2 linked regions of the Oryzias latipes genome follow. Each later gene encodes a partner of the first gene's protein in a complex. Links are inferred from orthologs where the notes say so. Each region holds a gene or a part of one and is shown on either strand. Other genes may lie near its edges. The genes, in order: wrap53 and dkc1.

Evidence for each region.
Region 2: wrap53 (region 1) and dkc1 share a complex: the UniProt entries of both Homo sapiens proteins name them as parts of the telomerase holoenzyme complex. The link is inferred for Oryzias latipes from reciprocal best matches to the Homo sapiens genes WRAP53 and DKC1.

The regions. Positions count from the first base shown.
Region 1 is NC_019876.2:6,272,897-6,277,257, reverse strand, and holds the start of wrap53 (telomerase Cajal body protein 1), read right to left. Parts: upstream 3,002-4,361; 5' UTR 2,741-3,001; intron 2,562-2,740; 5' UTR 2,395-2,561; coding exon 2,196-2,394; intron 2,116-2,195; coding exon 1,959-2,115; intron 1,727-1,958; coding exon 1,631-1,726; intron 1,536-1,630; coding exon 1,427-1,535; intron 640-1,426; coding exon 551-639; intron 1-550. UniProt on the Homo sapiens protein: RNA chaperone that plays a key role in telomere maintenance and RNA localization to Cajal bodies. Specifically recognizes and binds the Cajal body box (CAB box) present in both small Cajal body RNAs (scaRNAs) and telomerase RNA template component (TERC).
Region 2 is NC_019880.2:47,659-52,012, forward strand, and holds the start of dkc1 (H/ACA ribonucleoprotein complex subunit 4), read right to left. Parts: upstream 2,952-4,354; 5' UTR 2,876-2,951; coding exon 2,860-2,875; intron 2,132-2,859; coding exon 2,079-2,131; intron 2,012-2,078; coding exon 1,925-2,011; intron 1,410-1,924; coding exon 1,318-1,409; intron 1,248-1,317; coding exon 1,063-1,247; intron 402-1,062; coding exon 337-401; intron 1-336.

The sequences.
Region 1 (4,361 bases):
GAATTCTCTCCGAGTCTCACTGGTTGAAGATGTTCTGGATCCATTTTAGGTCAGATCCCGTCTGATTCTGTTTCCTCATACTAAATCTTTTTTTTGGAGTCGCTTATATATTTTTCCTCATTTTGGTCTCTACATTCTCCGCGTTCATATATCCAATTGTTGCTGTTTTTGTCTTGTCTTCAAACTGAAAAGGAAAAACTTCTTAGTTTTCCTGCTCACAGCTCTTTTACTGCCCCCAAGTGGACATCTCTGGGACCTGCAGGCTTTGGTTTTTATTTTTACAGCTTTTGTTTTGGGTAAAAATCAAGGAAAGATTCAATAAATAATTATTTTTTTAAGTCAGAGTGAATAAAAAAAAGTATAATTTTATACTTTCATGGTGCAATTTCCAACACAAAGAATGTCTTTGTGGGCCACGGGGGATGAATTTGAGTGACCAGATTTCAGGCGAGCCTTCACACCTGCTAGACTCGACACACTTATGGACTGTGGCGAGGGCCACAACCGAGAGGTGATCAATGCTGCCTTCAGGCTCCGGCGTGGAACTCACAAACACGTGTCCGGCTCCACAGAGTTCATGTTGGGGTACCAGCAGTAGTCGTAGACGGTGTCTCCTTCAGCCATCCTCAGCACCGGACTCTGAGCCCACAAGACAAGCAGAGATGGAGAGAAAGGTGATGACGAAGGCTCGCTCCACGTGTTCGAGGTGATTCGACGTCTCCGCCTTCTAGAGCGGAGGACAAAGAATCTAAAGCTGTTAAACGCTAATCATACAAACTGGGTTTTGACATCCTGAGATGTTGGGAAATGCCTCCAAAACAGCCAATTCCTTCTAGTCCCATCATCTCAGACTCTTTTAAAGTCCAAAACCTTTTCTCCACCTCCTCCTTCCTGTCCTTCTATCCCCTTCGGTGTTTTTTCTCCACAAATTTCTGCCTGAAAACTTGACTTCCAGAGAAACAGGTGTGAAACAAAACAAAACAACAAAAAAAAGACACAATTGCTCCCAAAAATATCAACAAAAGCCTTATTTGAGCCTCTTAACAACTGAAAAACTCTGTTTTGGCCCCATTTCCCTTCCCTATGTAAAGCACGGGGGTGGCAGAATCATGGCTGGGGGGTTTATTTTGCTTGACAGAAACAAGGGCATTTTGAGGCTAATGTGAGGTTGGACAAAGTCCACAACAGGTTCTAGATCTGTTGCCACGGTAACCAGGGTCAAGTTCTCCACGGGGATGAGTGGACAGCTGTTTGTTTTGATCTGAAAAAAATAAAGGGGTGCAAACGGGTTTCCATGACTACAGATGCGGTGAGGCTCGGTAATCCGGACGGGAAAGGCTGCACCGCCAAACTCAACGGGTGGAGGACATTTGGAGTTTAAATGCAATCCCCAACAGATTCTTTTTTTTACGGGTCCCAAACTCACCATCTCAGAGAGCGCCCCCCAGCTGTAGCTGTACACCTCTGGCGGAAGGTTGTAGAGGCGGAGCACGTTGTCGGCGCTGTTGGTCAGGACGCAGGAGCCGTCGGGGGCCCTGCAACAGGAGACGGCGTCCGTCAGCAGCCCGCTTACCGGGACTGTGGATTAGACCATTTTTTTCCAAAGAACGGGGGGGGGGGGGGGGGTTACCATTTGCACCCTTTGAGGTAATTCTCCGTGAACTTGGAGAACTCCGTCCAGGAGCCGGTCAGCATCTGGGGATCGTGGGTAAAATCCAAGCCGAGGCTGAAGGCAAAGCAGGACAGTTTTCAAACACGCCTTAAAAATAAAAAAAATAAAAAAGGAAGAAAATCCAAAACTAGAAATGAAAAATCTTCCGCGTACGACACGTCTACGAGAACTTCATCTGCCTTAACCCTTGTGCTGTCCTGTGGGGTCCAGATGACCCCACTCCCAACGGTAACGTGCCCCTGAGGCACGGGGTATTCACTCCAGTTCATGCTCCAGATCCACCTACTGTTGTTCTCCAGTGGGGCTGTCTGCAGATCTGTCACTCCTGCCCCCCTCCTCCTCCTCCTCCTCCTCTGGATCTCCATTCTGGTGACATCCCTCCCATCTCTGCTGCTCTTCCTCCTCCTCCTCCTCTCCGCCCTGCTGCGCCCCCTCTGCTCCTTCTGGCGGCAAAAGTTCATGCAGAAGAAATCTTGTTGAAGCTGAACTCGTGAAGACCTGTCAGATGGTCACGTGACTGTACCATGTTCGGACGGGGGGGGCTTTTCCTGCCCATCCTGATCCTCCTCCTCCTCGCTCCTCCGGGGCCGCTTGGGGCTTGGCGGGGCCCCCTCCTCTCCACCCGCCGCCGCCGTCGGTTGGGGCGGCTCGCCGTCCGCCTCAGAGTCCTGCCCCGCGCCCGTCACCCCCCCGCTTTCACACCCATCCCCCAAATCAGACATGGCCTCCGTTTTACCCCCCCGCCGCGCTCCAGCGTCTCGGTCGGTGTGGAGTCCGCGGGTGGAGCCGTCAGACGTGGGTGATGTAGGTACTACTGGGGTAGTGCTTCCTCCTGCAGTGGGGGTGTTTGAGTCTGCGGGGGTTCGTGGACATCACAACACCCGAACACCTGGAGGGGAAGAACCCAAACACCTGTAGCTAGTTGTGTTGTTGTGACGCGAAACACTCACCAAACGTGGATTAAGTCCGAAATTAGTGACGCACTTTCACTCAATAAGACACAAACTACCACTAAACGTGTCGAGTACTTCAGTTTATCGCTAACAGTCTGTTCTAAAGTGAACTTACCAACATACTGAACAAAACTAACACTTCAGTTAGCACCGGCTAGCTTTAGCCGACGCTAGCACTGTGAAGCTACGTACCTGCGCAGTAGTTCTCCGCGCAGTTTGGCAGAAATCCTCTCGGCGGTTTCGATGTTTCACACAGAGGCGGTGAAAACTGCAACTCTTTCGCGCGGAAACTTTCAGCTCACGCGCTCATGGTGAGAGGCAAAGACAGGTCTTCCATGTGATGTCTGTTAAATCTCGCGAGAGTTCCATCAATTTCCCAATGGCTCACGTCGTGATGTCTCGCGAGAGTTCCGTCGAGTTGTCTGAAAGTGTTGCGTTTACTGAGCGTCGAGGCCCGACAAACAAGACGTTTCCACAGCTAAATACTATTTATTTAGTATTTGTTTTGTTCTTCAAACAAACAGGAGCAGAACTATTTACAAATCTTTCAGTTGTTCTCGGAAACAATTTTAATTATTTCTTGTTTATATTAAAATACTTAAGCAGAGGAGCTGAGCTGACTGGGGCGCAGTCACTCGCTGAAGTTCGTTTAACCGAGGAGGTTGCGAACGCCACAAGCTGACTTCATCTGACTTCAAAAGTTTCCAGTACAGTAAAAGCGACGTACAGCCCAGAAAACAAACATTTTTGCCTAATCACAAATGGATTTTGAGTGGAATTTCATTATTTAAACGTTAGACCATTAGCAACTGGAAACTAAACAAAATTGAGGATTTAGAATTATTTACAGGAACATTATTTTTATTTAAAATCTGCATATTTCTTTATCAAAACTCAATTTGTTGACTAAAAACCTTACAATCAGATTCATAAGTGAGAAAGCCGGACTGGTTTCTTGTGCATAATCTTTTTCTTTTGGGGGGGGGCATGCCACCCCCGGTCAGCTCAGCTCCACACGCGACAGACGTCAGCCCTTTTTGAGCCTTCAGCGAAACCCCAACAAATTCACCCTTTAATTAAAAAAAAAAGAAAAGAAAAGCCAACCACCAGCAGAGTTTAGATCAAAAACATTTGCAGCTCTAGTCTGTACTAGTAAAGTTGATCAAATGCACATGTAGTTAGATGACAATCCTCTTTTTTTTTCTCTTTTTTTTTGTAGCTCGAGTATAGTTTCCAACTTAAACTTAGCATTGAGAGAAAACTTCAGTTAGTCATTCGGGACTCAACTATACAATTTAAGGCATGTTGAACAGAGTAATAAAACAAAAAACCCACTGAAGGAAAAAAAAAAAAAAACATCCATTATTTACAGAGCTCAGCGTTTATAGTGACGAGCGTCGCCGTCTGGGTGATTTCCCCGTTACAACCGAGCCTCCTCCCATGTGACTTCTGCTGAACGTGTGCACGTAGTGTGAACCTTTGGGTTGGTGTGTGGGTTGATGCCCCCCCCCCCCCCCCCTCTCTCTTTTTGTACAAAATCTTTCAGTTCGTCCGGCTCCACGGCTGCAGGAGTTCCTCCAGTGTCCCCCCTCCCAACGAAGACAGAACACCTTAGTAGTTCCACACTGAGGTGCATCACAATCTTCTTCTTTTTTTTTCCTCCAATGGAGGCTGGAGAGAGTTCGGCCGAATCCTGAACTCTTCCGCAGATGGAATGATAAACCTGGAGACTCCAG
Region 2 (4,354 bases), on another chromosome or scaffold:
CCATATTATTGTCTCAGTTCCATATTTCAGAAAGAAAACAATGACCTGAAATGTTCTGATTACACAAGAATATGTTGTTCCTGATTAAATGACCCACATTCATGTCTGCAACCTTCAGTTTTCAATACAAAGAGGCTCCGTGCACAAAATGAAACCACTTCTTTGTTTCATTGTATTTCATGTATGTAACAATTCTCTTTTTGTTTGCAATAAAAAAAAAAAGAATTGAAATAGGATTTTACTCTGGAGGGTTTAAATGCAAGACCTTCCAGAACCTCAAGCCTCAGCCGTGTGTGCTTAAGGCAAGCTCTTACTGGATCATCAGGTCAGACTTACCCGGGCCAGAGCGTGCTGGTTCTCCACTGCATTGTGCAACCGGACGATCCCCACATACTCTTTACCTGCAACACAGAACAGTCAGGCTTCAACCAATCAACGGCTCCCAAATGGCTCGCAGCTAAAGGAACCAGTGCTTAGGTGAAGTGGGCCAATCACACAGTGCTGGCAGACTGAGGATCGCCCGGTGACAGAAGCAGATCCTTGTACTTTGACTCTGTAGCGGACCCATGGTCACATGGTGTCTGCAAAGACAGACGTCAGGCCAGCTGACTGCAGCAGCCAGGTGTGCGCGCACAAAAATATTCAGCAAACGTCCTGACGTGGACCAGGGCGGTCAGAGATGGCCTGCTGCTGAAATGACCCCCGTGCTTCCATATGCGTTACTAAAGCATCAGCAAAAGGTTTGATTTCGGATCATCAGTATCCGTTTTTTGTCTTTTCATTTATTAAAGCTAGAGTGTCCTTTTCCATCTTCATTGTCTGGACTAAAATTCACAGTTTTAGATAAAGCAAAAACTAAATAGAAACAGATTTGTGGGGGTCTGGTTTAGATCAGTACGGATGAAGTGGAGGGGGACATTGAAGAGAATGAAGAGTAGAAAAGCCTTTGGATCCTCAGCTCTAGTTCTGGATCAGACCCATCCCCTCTCAGGTCTTAGTGATTGTAATCTGCCAATCAGACCTGAAGCCCAAAACCCAGCCAGACACCCTCAGGACCCGTACCTGCACTCTGCTGCGATTTGACCAATCGTGTGGCACGGTCTATACACACAATCAGGCAGCCAGTGACCTTGGGATCCAGCGTCCCACTGTGTCCAGTTTTCTCCACTCGCAGAATCCTACGAATCCACGCAACCACCTCATGGGATGATGGGTTGGCTGGCTTGTCCAAATTGATGAAGCCAGACCTTAAGTAGAGGAGGCAGTGTCATTATGCAATCTGCGTCATAGCATTGACCCTACGCAACGTGAATGTACCTGACGTAATCTGCAATGTTCCTCTTCAGGGGGTTGCTGCCGTTGGGCAGGGGAGTGTAGTGGCCCGTCCGCACATTCAGCTTATCGAAGTTCTGCCAAAACAGGAAACAGTTTGAGGTCGATGTACCAACCGAAGCGAACACCTGGCGTTAAATCCTGAATTAGCTTTTTGTCTAAGGGAGAAACCAACCCCAGTACCAGGTTGCCCAAATATTCTCATGCCCTTTGACCCCATGCTGGTACTACTTTTTCGTAACATACTCTCCAAAAAGTAGCCATCTGAATCACTGCCGGATAGTGAAGCCTGGACCACATAGCCATTTTTTTGTTTGCTCACACATTTCCTGTTTCAAGGCGGCGTGTGATCAGAGCAGAGCATCATCTTGACAACAGTCTGGTCGCTTCCACCTCTACACGGTCACCTCCTATAACCTGGCAGAACGCCAGGTCACAGTTGGTGACCAGCAGAGACCAGGCCCCAAAGATGGAGACGGGCAAAGAAACGCCAAGACTGCAGTGCTCAGAGAATGGATAAACTGCTTCATCATGTCACACCAACATTGCCAACATGTCACATGACCCAGGCAGGGGTCGAGGTGGAGCTGACCTTGAGAAGGAGGGGCCATTGTGATGTGTTTAAAGATGTTGCCTTGGACTCTGGCTGGATGAAAAAGTCAGCACTCCTCTGGATCTCCTGGAAAACAAACAGTCAGCTCCAGCAGATCCATGAGATTACCTTTACTCCAGACAACATCACTCACCCCAACTTCTTCATCGCAGACTTTCTTCCCTTTCTTCTTTTTAACAGATGCTACTGCAGAAACACGGAACAGCAGATTAGTGGAGTGGCGTCCTAAGAACACCATTTACCTACTGTGAAGCATGGGGGTGGAAGCATCATGCTTTGGGGCTGCTTTACTGCTAAAGTCATCTCAATGGATCCTTAAAAATCTTGAATTCGTAGATTTTTGTCTCGAATCATCAACAAAATCTTTGACCGTTTTGGAGACCCCGCAGGTGGAAACGTTTGCACTGATCGTAAACCGGTTAGAACCGGTGCAGACATGAAACGGAGCCACGTTTTACTGCAGTTCGGCTCTGATCCGTTCGACCCAAAAACTGTCATATAATAAACTAGTCAGAACCTAATTGTGTTTCCCATTTTGATTGTGGCGCGCGCACATTTGAATCAAACAGGTGTTTGTTAAAAACTAACGACTTATTCCCAACGCACGTGGCGTTTCCTGCACGTCACGTGGACTGGAAGGACCACGCGGGGCGGGAATCCAAAGAAGCGCTCAACCCCTGAAGTAGCAGACCTCCAAAAGCGAACCGAATCTGACCCGGTTTATCGTGTAGGCCGCCCGGAGCAGGACGCACGTGGCGCGGTTCGGCCTGCTTTGGTGCGCGGCCTGCTCTGCAGAACGCGCCGCGCGTGCGATGGGAACTGCGTCAGTAACGCCGTGCGGGCGTGTTGATTTTGCATTAAGGGTAGCGGTTCTGATTCTGGCAAAACTTCAGAACCACGTGGGTCGCCCTTACCTTCAACCTCCGCCATCTTCTTCCAAGTGACTGCGTGCGAGCGTCCGCCTTCTTATTCTTTGGTCTACGAGCACCGGAAGACGATCGAGCCACATCCGGGGCGGGGCTAGAGAGCTTTTGGATTTCCTCTCATGTATTGGGATTACCGAAAAACTAGTTAACCAGGGTTTAGGCTCTTTATTCATCCAGAGTCTCGGGCACTGACAAACTCTCAGAAAAGGAATAAGACTTATAAAATAAGAAGGTTATTTCCCGAACTTCCAACCCAAAGAGACACTTAATGAATGTCATTTATGAAGATCTGTTTCTGAAGGAAACTGCTGTAGAAAATGTATGTTTTAATATCTTATTCTTCATTATGTTACAGCTTTATCTTTAGTGTGAAGTGAACTCATCAGGACTTATTCTCCAGTGACCTTCACTTGTGCTTTGTAGTTGCAGCAGCAACTAGGACTTCTTTGTGCAAATCTAGGAGTTTCCAGAGATGGAATAAATATGTCATGGACTACATTTCTACTATCTGGGTTGAACATCTTATCCTAGGGAAAGTGTTCAGATTCCTGTTCTCATGTGGAGGATGAAGCTGACCTCTGATCACGTGCCGGTGATGGAGTATCCGTTTGGCTGGTAGGATTTATTTGGACCAGATGAGGACTCTTGATCGTTGGATTGTGTGCGCCGGTGAAATAATAATAATAATAATAATGGATTAGATTTATCTGCGCTTTTCAAGACACCCAAAGCGTTTACATTGTGTCCATTATTCATTCACTCCTCATTCATACTTAGTGATGGTAGCTACGGTTGTAGCCACAGCCACAGACTGACAGAGGTGTGGCTGCCATTTCGCGCCTACGGCCCCTCTGACCATCACCGGGATCATTCATACACATCCACACACCAGTGGAGCCACACTGGAGGCAAGGAGGGTGAAGTGTCTTGCCCAAGGACACAACGACATTTTGGCTGGTGGGAGCGGGGATTGAACCGCCAACCCTTCGATCATTGGACGACCCGCTCAACCACCTGAGCCACTGTCGCCCCTTTGAAAGGCGAGCGGATCTGGAGTTGGCAACCTTCAGCTATTGGCCGGTGGAAGCACAAGGGATACCGGCTGACGAATCAGAGTGTTCCGGGGCGGAGATCCAGTGGTCATGATGTTTTCAGAAGGAGGAGTGTCAAACACATGTTTAAAAGACTGTTTTGGACGGACTTTACTGTTCTTAGGAAAATCTACGATTCGCATGTAATTCGCATGTAACTTGTGCGTCAGTAGGTCTTTACTTGAGAATCCAGATATATCTGCATTAATGTTTAATCTGTGCTCTAGAACTATTGTCAGGGAAATAAACTTCGTGTATTTTTAATCCGGTTGAATCCTTGTTTGCTTTACCACTCTCGTCTCGACTACTGAACATGCATGGATGGAAAGAACTGAAAAGCAAAGATTTCTTTCCTACACTGCTGAGACCAGAATGAAGTTTCCAAGCTCCAT